Linked DNA regions of Macaca mulatta. The protein of the gene in region 3 purifies or fractionates together with the protein of the main gene of each other region. This does not show direct contact. Links are inferred from orthologs where the notes say so. Each region holds a gene or a part of one and is shown on either strand. Other genes may lie near its edges. The genes, in order: SRSF1, NCBP1 and EIF4A3.

What was found.
Region 1: the proteins of EIF4A3 (region 3) and SRSF1 fractionate together in Homo sapiens (co-fractionation; 4 studies listed by BioGRID and IntAct, with this or other methods). This does not show direct contact. The link is inferred for Macaca mulatta from reciprocal best matches to the Homo sapiens genes EIF4A3 and SRSF1.
Region 2: the proteins of EIF4A3 (region 3) and NCBP1 purify together in Homo sapiens (co-immunoprecipitation; 3 studies listed by BioGRID and IntAct, with this or other methods). This does not show direct contact. The link is inferred for Macaca mulatta from reciprocal best matches to the Homo sapiens genes EIF4A3 and NCBP1.

Annotation. Positions count from the first base shown.
Region 1 is NC_133421.1:51,982,045-51,986,481, reverse strand, and holds the start of SRSF1 (serine/arginine-rich splicing factor 1), read right to left. Parts: upstream 2,922-4,437; 5' UTR 2,719-2,921; coding exon 2,525-2,718; intron 2,117-2,524; coding exon 1,932-2,116; intron 1,565-1,931; coding exon 1,392-1,564; intron 1,209-1,391; exon of another isoform or gene 1,192-1,208; coding exon 997-1,191; 3' UTR 632-996; coding exon of another isoform or gene 593-631; 3' UTR 1-592. UniProt on the Homo sapiens protein: Plays a role in preventing exon skipping, ensuring the accuracy of splicing and regulating alternative splicing.
Region 2 is NC_133420.1:60,734,577-60,737,898, reverse strand, and holds part of NCBP1 (nuclear cap-binding protein subunit 1), read left to right. Parts: intron 1-986; coding exon 987-1,101; intron 1,102-3,066; coding exon 3,067-3,195; intron 3,196-3,322. UniProt on the Homo sapiens protein: Component of the cap-binding complex (CBC), which binds cotranscriptionally to the 5'-cap of pre-mRNAs and is involved in various processes such as pre-mRNA splicing, translation regulation, nonsense-mediated mRNA decay, RNA-mediated gene silencing (RNAi) by microRNAs (miRNAs) and mRNA export.
Region 3 is NC_133421.1:89,821,453-89,824,281, forward strand, and holds the end of EIF4A3 (eukaryotic initiation factor 4A-III), read right to left. Parts: intron 2,593-2,829; coding exon 2,477-2,592; intron 1,598-2,476; coding exon 1,490-1,597; intron 1,394-1,489; coding exon 1,266-1,393; intron 774-1,265; coding exon 757-773; 3' UTR 539-756; downstream 1-538. UniProt on the Homo sapiens protein: ATP-dependent RNA helicase. Involved in pre-mRNA splicing as component of the spliceosome. Core component of the splicing-dependent multiprotein exon junction complex (EJC) deposited at splice junctions on mRNAs.

The DNA.
Region 1 (4,437 bases), about 38 Mb from region 3:
TTAAAGGGGAAGGTGAGACTTAAAAGTATTCCCAACTAGATTATCTACACCAATACATTGGAACTCTATATTTTGCTTTCATTTTGTCTTAAAAAAATGAAATAGCAACGCTCTATCAGTCACACAGAGGACATGCAGATTTAGCAGTATTGATATTATACTCTATCTTGTTGGATTTAAAGACACCCTGTACCCACATGTACACCAACAGCAGGTCACACATTAACAGTTGTAACTAAGCACTGTGACAAATTAGCCAGTTCTTCCCACATTAGTCCCTATTAAAACAAAAATGGGGGGAAGGGAGCAAAATAAGTTGCTACAAAATGGGCAATATAATTTTGCCACAATTGCCAAGGTTTAAAGAGCAAAGCAATTGTAGCTAAAGATAACTGAATAAAATGTTTGCAAGTGTTTTAAGGAAAACGTATATAATCATTTTTAACCCCTGCCTTTTAGTATAAGGTCAATACTGCCAATTTCATCTGTGACAATAGCACTTGGAGTCATACCATTGCCTCCATTATTGATCTGATCCTCCTCAATCCTCCTTTTGACAATCCTAAAATGATTGAAATGTGCTCCACAATCCTTAATCCAAAGCATTCTTAATCCATCTCTTCAGATATGTCTACAGAAAGACACATGAAAAGCAAGATAAACATAAGAACTTCCCCAGGTAAGATAACCACAAACACCCCCAACATCCCAGTTCACACAAACCAGGGCAGAATAGACATTTACACAATATCACAGTCTGAAGAGTATGGAGTTAACTAAATTTAAACAATCCTGTCTATGACATCACTTAAAATACAATTTATCGAAGACACGAGGGGAATGTAGATGTTAGGAGCAAGGGGATATTACAAGAATGCAATTCAACACTTTAGCCCATTCTGAACAAAACAGTTTGAATTAAAAAATGAAAAGATTGTACTGAATAAAGGAAAACTGTATACAACATGGGTTCTACAAAAAGTGTCACCAATCATCTTATGTACGAGAGCGAGATCTGCTATGACGGGGAGAATAGCGTGGTGATCCTCTGCTTCTCCTTGGGGAGTAACTGCGACTCCTGCTGTTGCTTCTGCTACGGCTTCTGCTACGACTACGGCTTCGAGATCGAGATCTTCCATAACTTGGACTTCTGGGCCCATCAACTTTAACCCGGATGTAGGCAGTTTCTCCCTATTGGATAGACAGAACTTTCCATTGAAAGATCTAAGCTTTCATCTATCTTCAGGCATGCTGAATGCATACAATGCAACTACAACCAGAAATCTGGCAATTTACTTGGACACCCTTGCCTGAATTCTTACCTTCAAATTCCACTGTTAAGACCACTGTATCCAATTCTGGTCAAAGAAAAGAATAAGCGTATAACCTACCTCATGAGATCTAAACTTAGTGTTATCCAGTTTTCGAACTGCATAGGTCATATCTTCTTTCCGTACAAACTCCACGACACCAGTGCCATCTCGGTAAACATCAGCATAACATACATCACCTGCTTCACGCATGTGATCCTTTAAATCCTGCCAACTTCCACTTGGAGGCAGTCCTGAAAAAGTGATTTTTTTTCTTAGTATCAATTATCTTAAATTTCACGTTAAGCTGGTAAGGTACATTAGAACAAAGAGTACTTTAAAATACTTAATAGGTGTACTTAAGTGATACCAGGTAAAGAGCTGGTAAGATTCTGGGATCCAGAGTCCAAAATTATTTGTAACGGATCTTCGTATCTAGTACCGCAACCTAATTTGGTAAATCACCACAGCAGCAATCCTCGTTTATTAAATTCACCCAAAAACTAAAGCAATTTAAGACCTAGCATGAAAAATTTGCAATTGTTAAACCGATCATGCAAGACAAAAATTTTAGGTAGCTTCCGTCCCTTCACATCAATCCACACAACCAAGTACACTCACCAGAGACAACCACTCTGTTTTCAGACCGCCTGGATGGGGGGCCATAGCGACCTCGGGGAGCTCCGCCACCTCCACCCCCGCCGCCGCCTCGGCCTGTTCCACGGCCGCTTCGAGGAAACTCCACCCGCAGACGGTACCCATCGTAATCATAGCCGTCGCGACCATACACCGCGTCTTCCGCGTCTCTGCGGGATCGCAGAAAGTAAAAGGCATGAGAAAGACCAGGAGGAGAAGCTCGCTCAGTCGGGAACCCCCCGCACATGCGCACCCAACGTGGAAGAGCCCACATGCGCCGCATAATAGGAATGGCCCCTCCCCCACCCAGAAACACGCCAGGCTCCCAACCACTACACCAGCCCTCAGCGCCTCAGTTTCCCGCTCCAGCCTGCGAATGGGCTCCGGGGACGTCCAAGGCGAGGCGCCAGAGAAGCCACACCAACTCAGCTCCTTACTCGACTCCTGCATGGGCGATACAGTCTCGCCCCAACCTCTCTAAGAGCCCCCGCTTCCCCGTTCTCTATGTTAAGGCCTTGGAGCCTTCCCCGACTACTCGGACCTATTTCCTCAAGGCTGCAAGCCCCATGCCGCCTCACCGCGGGTCCTCGAACTCAACGAAGGCGAAGGGCGGTCCCCCGCGGCGATTCTTGAGGTCGATGTCGCGGATAGCGCCGTATTTGTAGAACACGTCCTCAATGTCCTTGGTTCGGATGTCTGGAGGTAAGTTACCCACGTAGATGCGGCAATCGTTGTTCCCTGCGGGGCCACGAATCACACCACCTCCCGACATGGCGGTGACGAAAAGCGCGGACTCGAGAACAGGCCTTCCCACCAAGCCTAGCGCACCGCAGAGCGAGCCCGCAGCGGCACCACGTCTCCCGCGGCCCCTCCAAAATGGCGCCTTTATCAGCTCGGCGCACGGATATGGGGGGGAGACAGAGGAAGAGAAGCGGAAGGAAACAGCGATTCGATCCCAACACGCACGCGCGGGAGCGCAACGGGTGCTGCGAGGGATACGCGCAACGCACGCGCACGCACGCGCGACGTCACCCTCCGCACGAAGGGGGAAAAAAAGTCCCCCGCGTTCCCCGCTTGGGGTGGTTTGCGAATAGAGTGAGCAGCCGTTTGGTAAAAGTTAAATAAAGAACTCTCGTTAAAGGAGCTAGTCATCCAGGTCGAGTCTTGAAGGATAGTCAATTTCCCCAGGAATGAGGAGCTTTGAAAGCAACTCGGCGCCTTCAAAGGACTTGGTGAAACCTAGCCTAAAGCCTTGTCCCACCATGCTCTGCGGCGATAACGGCCTTTGGCGGGAAAGAGACTCGGAGGCGGGGCTAAAGGGGGAGGGCTCGGGCCGTTGCTCCGGAAACCCGGGTATCTTCGTAGAGTGCGTCTAGTCCAGAGCTGAGTTGCCGGTGACTGAATAGAGAGCTGGGGCGTTGGTTTGTCTTCCCGCCCCTGCTGCGAACAAGCTGTGGCTGCTTAGACAGATGTGTCTAATTTAGCGAAACCGGTTTAGATTCCTTAATCCTTTTCATTAAGAACCATTCCACCTTCTCGTCAGAACTTTGCATAGCTCAGTTCAGCACTCTTTGTGCTAGTCGCAGTGGGCCCGTACCCCGACCTTTCAACGTGGTACCCGCCAACCAGAAGGGGTAACAGTACTGCTTCTGGTACCCACACCTCTTTATCTCTTGTTAATCGCCTATCCGTGGGACTAGCGCAGATTGCCTGCAGAATGAATTGTTTCTGTTGTTTCCTTTTAAAGAACGAGAAGGAAGAAAAGGTGCGTGTGTGCAGTCCTTTTTTCAAAAGTTTCCTCTAAAAGTTACTGAAATTGAAAATACCGGTCCTCCCAGGTAATAAAATGGACCGAAATGGATGAGAGCCGTGTCCACTAGAGACCGCGGTTGCTATTCAGGACTGTGATCTTATTTGCCTGCGACATTGGGAGATAACATTTTACATTTTTTTTCGACGTCTGCAATCTGGATTTTTATGTGAAATCCTGGGATTTTTAAACGTCGCTAATGAATTCAAATTAAAATTAGGCTGGGCGCGGTGGCTCACGCCAGCACTTTGGGAGGTAGAGGCGGCAGATCACTTGAGGTCAGGAGTTCGAGACCAGCCTGGCCAACATGGTGAAATCCCGTCTCTACTGAAAAAAAAAAAATTAGCCGGGCTTGGTGGCGGGCGCCTGTAATCCAGCCTACTCGGGAGGCTGAGGCAGGAGAATCGCTAGAACCCTGGAGGTGGAGGTTGCAGTGAGCCGAGATCGCGCCATTGCGCTGCAGCCTGGGCTACAGAGTAAGACTCCTCCTAAAAAAAAAAAAAAAAAAAAAAAAAAAAAAAGGAGGGGGAAACAACAACAAAATCAAATCCTGCAGTCATAAATTTGCGATAACAGATCTACACCGTGAATTTCAGGGATAATGTTCTTCATGTTATTTACAGCAGTCCCTCTCCGCAAGGATGTGAGGCAATTTACAGAGATACCATAAAACATTATTAA
Region 2 (3,322 bases), on a different chromosome or scaffold from region 3:
TTTTAACTGCATGGAAAATTTAACTAGTAGCCTGTTGACCAGAAGCCTTAGTGATAACGTAGTCGATTAACACATATTTGTGTTGTGTTAATATTCTGTATTCTTACAATAAATCATAAGAGAGGAAACATCATTCATGAAGTGAGAGTGGATCATCATAAAGGTCTTCATCTTCATTATCTTCACATTGAGTAGGCTGAGGAAGAGGAGGCGTTGGTCTTGTTGTCTCAGGTGGAAGAAAACCCATGTGTAAATGGACCTGCACAGTTCGGACCTGTATTGTTCAAGAGCCAACTGTACTATTCTGTGCTGGGTTAGGAGACCTAGTTTATAGACACAAAAGTAGCTAAGAAGTTACTTTAAAAAAAAAAAAAAGAAAAGAAAAGAAACACTTATGCAACAAACATTTTGAAGCACCTACAAAGTGATCTTAGTATGTATTTGCTAGTAAGAAAGCTGACATATAATTATCTCATTCTTAGAGCCTATCAGTTGATACCTATTATCAACTAATGAGTTTCTTAAAGGTTCCAAGAGAATAATTGCCTGTGTGTGTGCTAAAGTGTAAATAGTGTAAAGCATGTACAATCAGTCTCAGGTCACCATTTTGAGAAAATTTCTACACATAGTGTTTACATTTAGGAGAGGAAAAATGTATTTCCATTTTTAATGTTAGTGTCCATCATAGTTTGCCATTTCAATTCAGTGAGTATATACCTCTAGTAAGGGATGGAAATAAGAAAAATGACTACACAGTACTGCCCTCAGGGGACTCACCTGAATCTAATGGGTGTGAAGATGGATATTTGCACAATTTACAATAAAAGACCAATTCATAAGTATTGCTGGAGAAATATGACTAATTCAGCCCAGAGGACAGAAGGCTGTATCAGCTGTTAAGAATGAATAGATCATAAAGGTTGAAAGGTTTTATTTTCTATAACCATAGCTTGACATACAATAACCAAATGCCATATTTCTTTAAGATTGTTCGTTTGGGAAATCTTGCACTCTACAATTCGTAAGATGAACAAACATGTCCTGAAGATCCAGAAAGAGCTGGAAGAAGCTAAAGAGAAACTTGCTAGGCAACACAAACGGGTAAGTTTTGTGTAAACTTGTAAATAGTTAAAGAAAATATACCAGAAACTCTGGAGAGGATTCAGAGTTCATTATTGTGATGGTATTTCATTTTTTTTCTGAGCCCAAATTAATGCAGAGCTGTTTGCAGAAGAGGAGGAGGGAGCAGGTAGTGTGTTGTGTGCTGTTACACTGCATGATGAACCAGTTCAGGAAGCCACAAACTTCACTTTCCATAGTTTACCATCTCTGGGTCAGCCTCATGTTTGCACAAGGGAAGTAGCAGAAGGGAAGAGGACACTTGTATTTCTATAGGAGTCTCTGGGGGAAGAGGGAGAAGACTATAGATACTTACACTTTCCCCATACTGTGAGGAGGAATGGGGCAGTCATTCCCAAGTTAACATAATACTTCTCGTAGTATTAATTTAGTATTTTAGCCATTTTGGAGGGAAGCCGTGAGTGACTTAACATGATACTCTTCCTTATGAAAGTATTTTCCAGTGTTATGTGTATTTATCATAGTAGAAGGTGAAAAAAAAAAGTTGAGTTTAGTGCCCTACAGGAACCTTTAGCAAGTTTGAGTACAAGTCTCCGTGTAGACATATATGTATACATATATGGATATAAACACAGACCTAAAATACTGTAAGGTAAATGGTGTCATCTCATTTTGTAGATGTTATAAAGTGAGACACAGAGAAGTTAAGTAGTAGAAGTTAAGTAAGACACAGAGAAGCTAGTAGGTTGCATAGCTGGTAAATGACCAGAGCTAGGTTCTGACACAAGTTTATCAGACTCCAGAGACTTTCTCTCATGCCACACTGTTTCTAGAAATGTGCTGTCCGACACAGTAGCTACTAGCTGCATGTGACTATTTTAGTTTAGTTAAAATTAAATACAATTTAAAATTCAGTTCTTTGGTCACACAACCATATTTCAGGTGCTCAGTAGTAACGTGTCGTTGCCGTCCTAACAGGCCGCACATATTTATATCATTGGCCCCATTGAAGAAAGGTCTATTAGGTAGTAGTGCTCTAGAACCTTACCTTTGAGTGGTGTTAGGAAAGGAGAGTCATGTACCCACGTGTCTAGAACATAAAGCAGACCTCATAAATAGGCTGTGTTTATAGAGAGAAAAGTAAGATTCTGTGAAATCGGAGAGCAGGGTTTTGATAATTTTGCTTAAAGCGGAGAGGAGGAGATCAGTAGCTGGGGCCTTAGCAGTTAAGTATTACCTCAAAGAATTGCCAGGCTTTCTAGATTCAGTGATGCCACTTCTTGCTGAAAGTACCTTGGTATGTAACACCTAGAGCCACGTTCTGGCTCTGCCACTTTCTGGCTGGGTGATGCTGGGAAAGTCATCTAACCTCTCAGCCTGTTCCTTTCTCTGTAAAATGGAAATAAACCATGCCTTGTTTTTCTTTTCCTTTAAAAAAAAAAAATTCTATAAACTCTTCAGAGTGAGCTGGAGGGGGGGAATTATTAAAGCTTTACGGGAGTGTATTGAGCCCATCATTGCCAGCAGAAAGTCTTAAATGGCCCACTTTGAATTATTTTATGTCGGCTGTAGCCATTTCTAAATTATAACAAGAATGAGCAGGCTTGGCCCGTAGGACTTGCTCAGTTTTTCTATATGGCCCATTAGGAGATTAATGATTAGCAGGCCGTCTCCCTGTTGTTACTGCTCAAATGGTCAAATAGTGATAAATTGTAGCCAAGTCCCCCATGTTGTTACCAAGACAAGTGCCACTAAATTTCCCTGGTCTAGATAAGAACCCATGGTATTTCTGAGTGAGAAGACAGTGTCTCTGAACCACAACAGGACTTTGAGGTATATGTGTGTGGGTGGCAGAGTGGGGGCTACTTTCACTGTAGAATATAAGTCTTAACATTTGGCCAGACACAATAAAATGCTTCCCCTGGAGGAGATTTAACACACTAGAATCAAAATGGTATTTTCCTTTTGTTCCTTTGCCTTCTGTAGCGAAGTGATGATGATGACAGAAGCAGTGACAGGAAAGATGGGGTTCTTGAGGAACAAATAGAAAGACTTCAAGAAAAAGTGGAATCTGCTCAGAGTGAACAAAAGAATCTTTTCCTCGTCATATTTCAGGTATCTTGGCTTGGGACATTTATACATAAAAGGAAACAATACGTTTCTTTAGTTTTAGTTTTTAAAAATGTTATTTTTCATTGTAAAAGGAAATCACATTTATAGAAGAGATTAAAAATAAAAATTT
Region 3 (2,829 bases):
TCGCCTGAGCCCAGGAGGTTGTGGCTGCAGTGAGTTGTGATGGTGCCACTGCACTCCAGCCTGGGCGGGAGAGCAAAACTCATCAACAATGAAACTCTCTCAAATTAAAAAAAAAGATTAGAAAAGTGAGTGAGATGGGCCGGGTGCGGTGGCTCACGCCTGTAATCTCAGCATTTGGGAGGCCAAGGCGGCTGCACCACGAGGTCAGGAGATTGAGACCATCTGGCTAACATGGTGAAACCCCGTCTCTACTGAAAATACAAAAAAATTAGCCGGGCGTGGTGGCGGGCTCCTGTAGTCCCAGCTACTTGGGAGGCTGAGGCAGGAGAATGACGTGAACCCGGGAGGCGGAGCTTGCAGTGAGCTGAGATCGCGCCACTGCACTCCAGCCTGGGCGACAGAGGGAGACTCCTTCTCAAAAAAAAGGAGACTCCTCAAGAAAAAAAGAAAAATTAGAAAAGTGAGTGAAATGACCCAAGACTACACAGTAAGTTACTAGAGAAGCTGGTGGCATCTTAGAAATATAGAGTTTATGGGAAAAGTTTTAAATTTTTAATGAAAAAGACTTAGAACAATGTATTATTTACATGTAAATAAGAAAAGAGCAGAATCCCCATATCCTCTTCGGAGGGAGACAGGAGGCCGTTTATGAGAAGAGAGTCCATATAAACCCCATTAAATAGAAGCTGGACCTAAATACTTCCAAACAGGAGTACAGAACAGGTGAACAGTCTTCACTCATCCCCTCGATCTGCTTCAGATCAGATCAGCAACTGAAAGTGAAGAAAGAAACAGATTAAGGAACAATACAAAAAAAAAAAAAAGAAAATTTGTAACGTAAATTTAACTAAAATCTCACAAGAGACTTCTCAAAACAAAAAACAGGCCAGGCATAGTGGCTCACGCCTGTAATCCTGGCACTTTGGGAGGCCAAGGTGGACAGATCACTTGAGGCTAGGAGTTCAAGATCAGCCTGGCCAACATGGTGAAATCCCGTCTCTACTAAAAATACAAAAATTAGCTGGTTATGGTGCACGCATCTGTAATCCCAGCTACTCAGGAGGCTGAGGCAGGAGAATTGCTTGAACCCAGGAGGCAGAGGTTGCAGTGAGCCAAAATCATGCCACTGTACTCCAGCCTGGCTGACAGAGCAAAACTTCGTCTCAAAAAAAAAACCACAACAACAAAAAAACAAACTCAAGTGCCCCAAACTAAGAATAGGGAAGTTCTCTCTACAATTCCAGTAGAGCTGGACGATTTCCTACCGTTCATAGGCATCTCATCGATCTGAGTGGAATAGTACTGCTCGATATCTCTGAGGATGCGGATGTCATCGTTCTTCACAAAGTTAATGGCGACCCCCTTCCGGCCGTATCGACCTGATCTCCCGATTCTTCAGGAATAAAACAATATCACAGTCAGTATCTACAGCAATCAAGATTTAGTAAATGTGTCACAGAAGTGAAGTCAATGAGAGCTTGCATCCTACCTGTGTATGTACAATTCTCTGTTATTGGGGAGATCATAGTTGATGATGAGGGACACCTGAGGGACATCCAACCCCCTGGCCCAGACGTCTGTAGAAATAAGCACTCGGCTGCAAAACAGAAAGTGTGTTTGAGGCGATTAAATTACTCATGCAAGTTTAAGACTGGACTTGCTTCCATTGCTAATTTTGAGGAATCCTGGCTACAAGTTCAAAAGATATGAGATTCCCCCTCACACCAGTCTGTCTGCAAACATGAAGCCTCAGGGACAGCACCAGAAATCCCTGTGCAGAGGGGCTGTTGCTGGATTTAGTTACTTCGGTCATGTGCTCCATCAGATTAAAAAAACAGACATCTTTTACTACACTACCTTTAACTTGTTTCGTCGGTTCTAAACCAATTAATTGGGAAAAATATTTTACTTTTGCCTAGCAACAAATTAAGAACAGTATCTTTGGCTGGGAGTGGCAGCTCATACCTGTAATCCCAGCACTGCCAGAGGCTGAGGTGGACGGATCACCTGAGGTCAGGAGTTCGTGACCAGCCTGGCCAACAAGGTGAAACCCCGTCTCTACTAAAAATGCAAAAAAAAAAAAAAAGCCATTCCAGCTACTCAGAAGGCTGAGGCACGGGAATCACTTGAAACCAGGAGGCAGAGGTTGCAGTGAGAAGATACCTGACCACTGTGGAATTAAACTAATTGAAACGATGAACAGAAAACCCGTACTTACTGGAAAGAAGACACACACTTGTAACCAAAGTGCCAACCTGGCTAGTTAAGGATCATTATCACCTCAACCGAAGTATTACAGGAACACAGCGAACGTCTCATTAACTGGAAGGTTTTCTGCTCACCCAGGGCCTCAGCTTTCAGAGCAGGAGCTCGTCATCTCCCCAGCTCTGGGGCCTGCCTCAGGCAGTGCATATGAAGTGCTTAGCACACAGTCTAGCAAACCCTGACCGGCAGAGCCACAGCACAGCGGACCCACCTGGCGCCCGACCGGAACTCCTTCATGATGGACTCCCGCTCTTTCTGGGGCATGTCTCCGTGCATTGAGGACACAGTGAAGTTGGCTTCTCTCATTTTTTCTGTCAGCCAGTCCACCTACAAATCCAATCAGCAGATGCTACTGCAAGTTCGTACACCAAACCAGAGATGTGCATTCGGGATTTTACCCCCATCATTTGCAGAACCAGTATCAATATTCTCAAAGTAACTGCTCTTAAAACTCAGGATCATCCTAACTGGATGCACAAACTTTTTCCCAGAAAATGTTGGGGTGCACTCACAAAACCCTCTTACTTCATTTTCTCCACATAATGACTCTATGGGGGAGGGGGC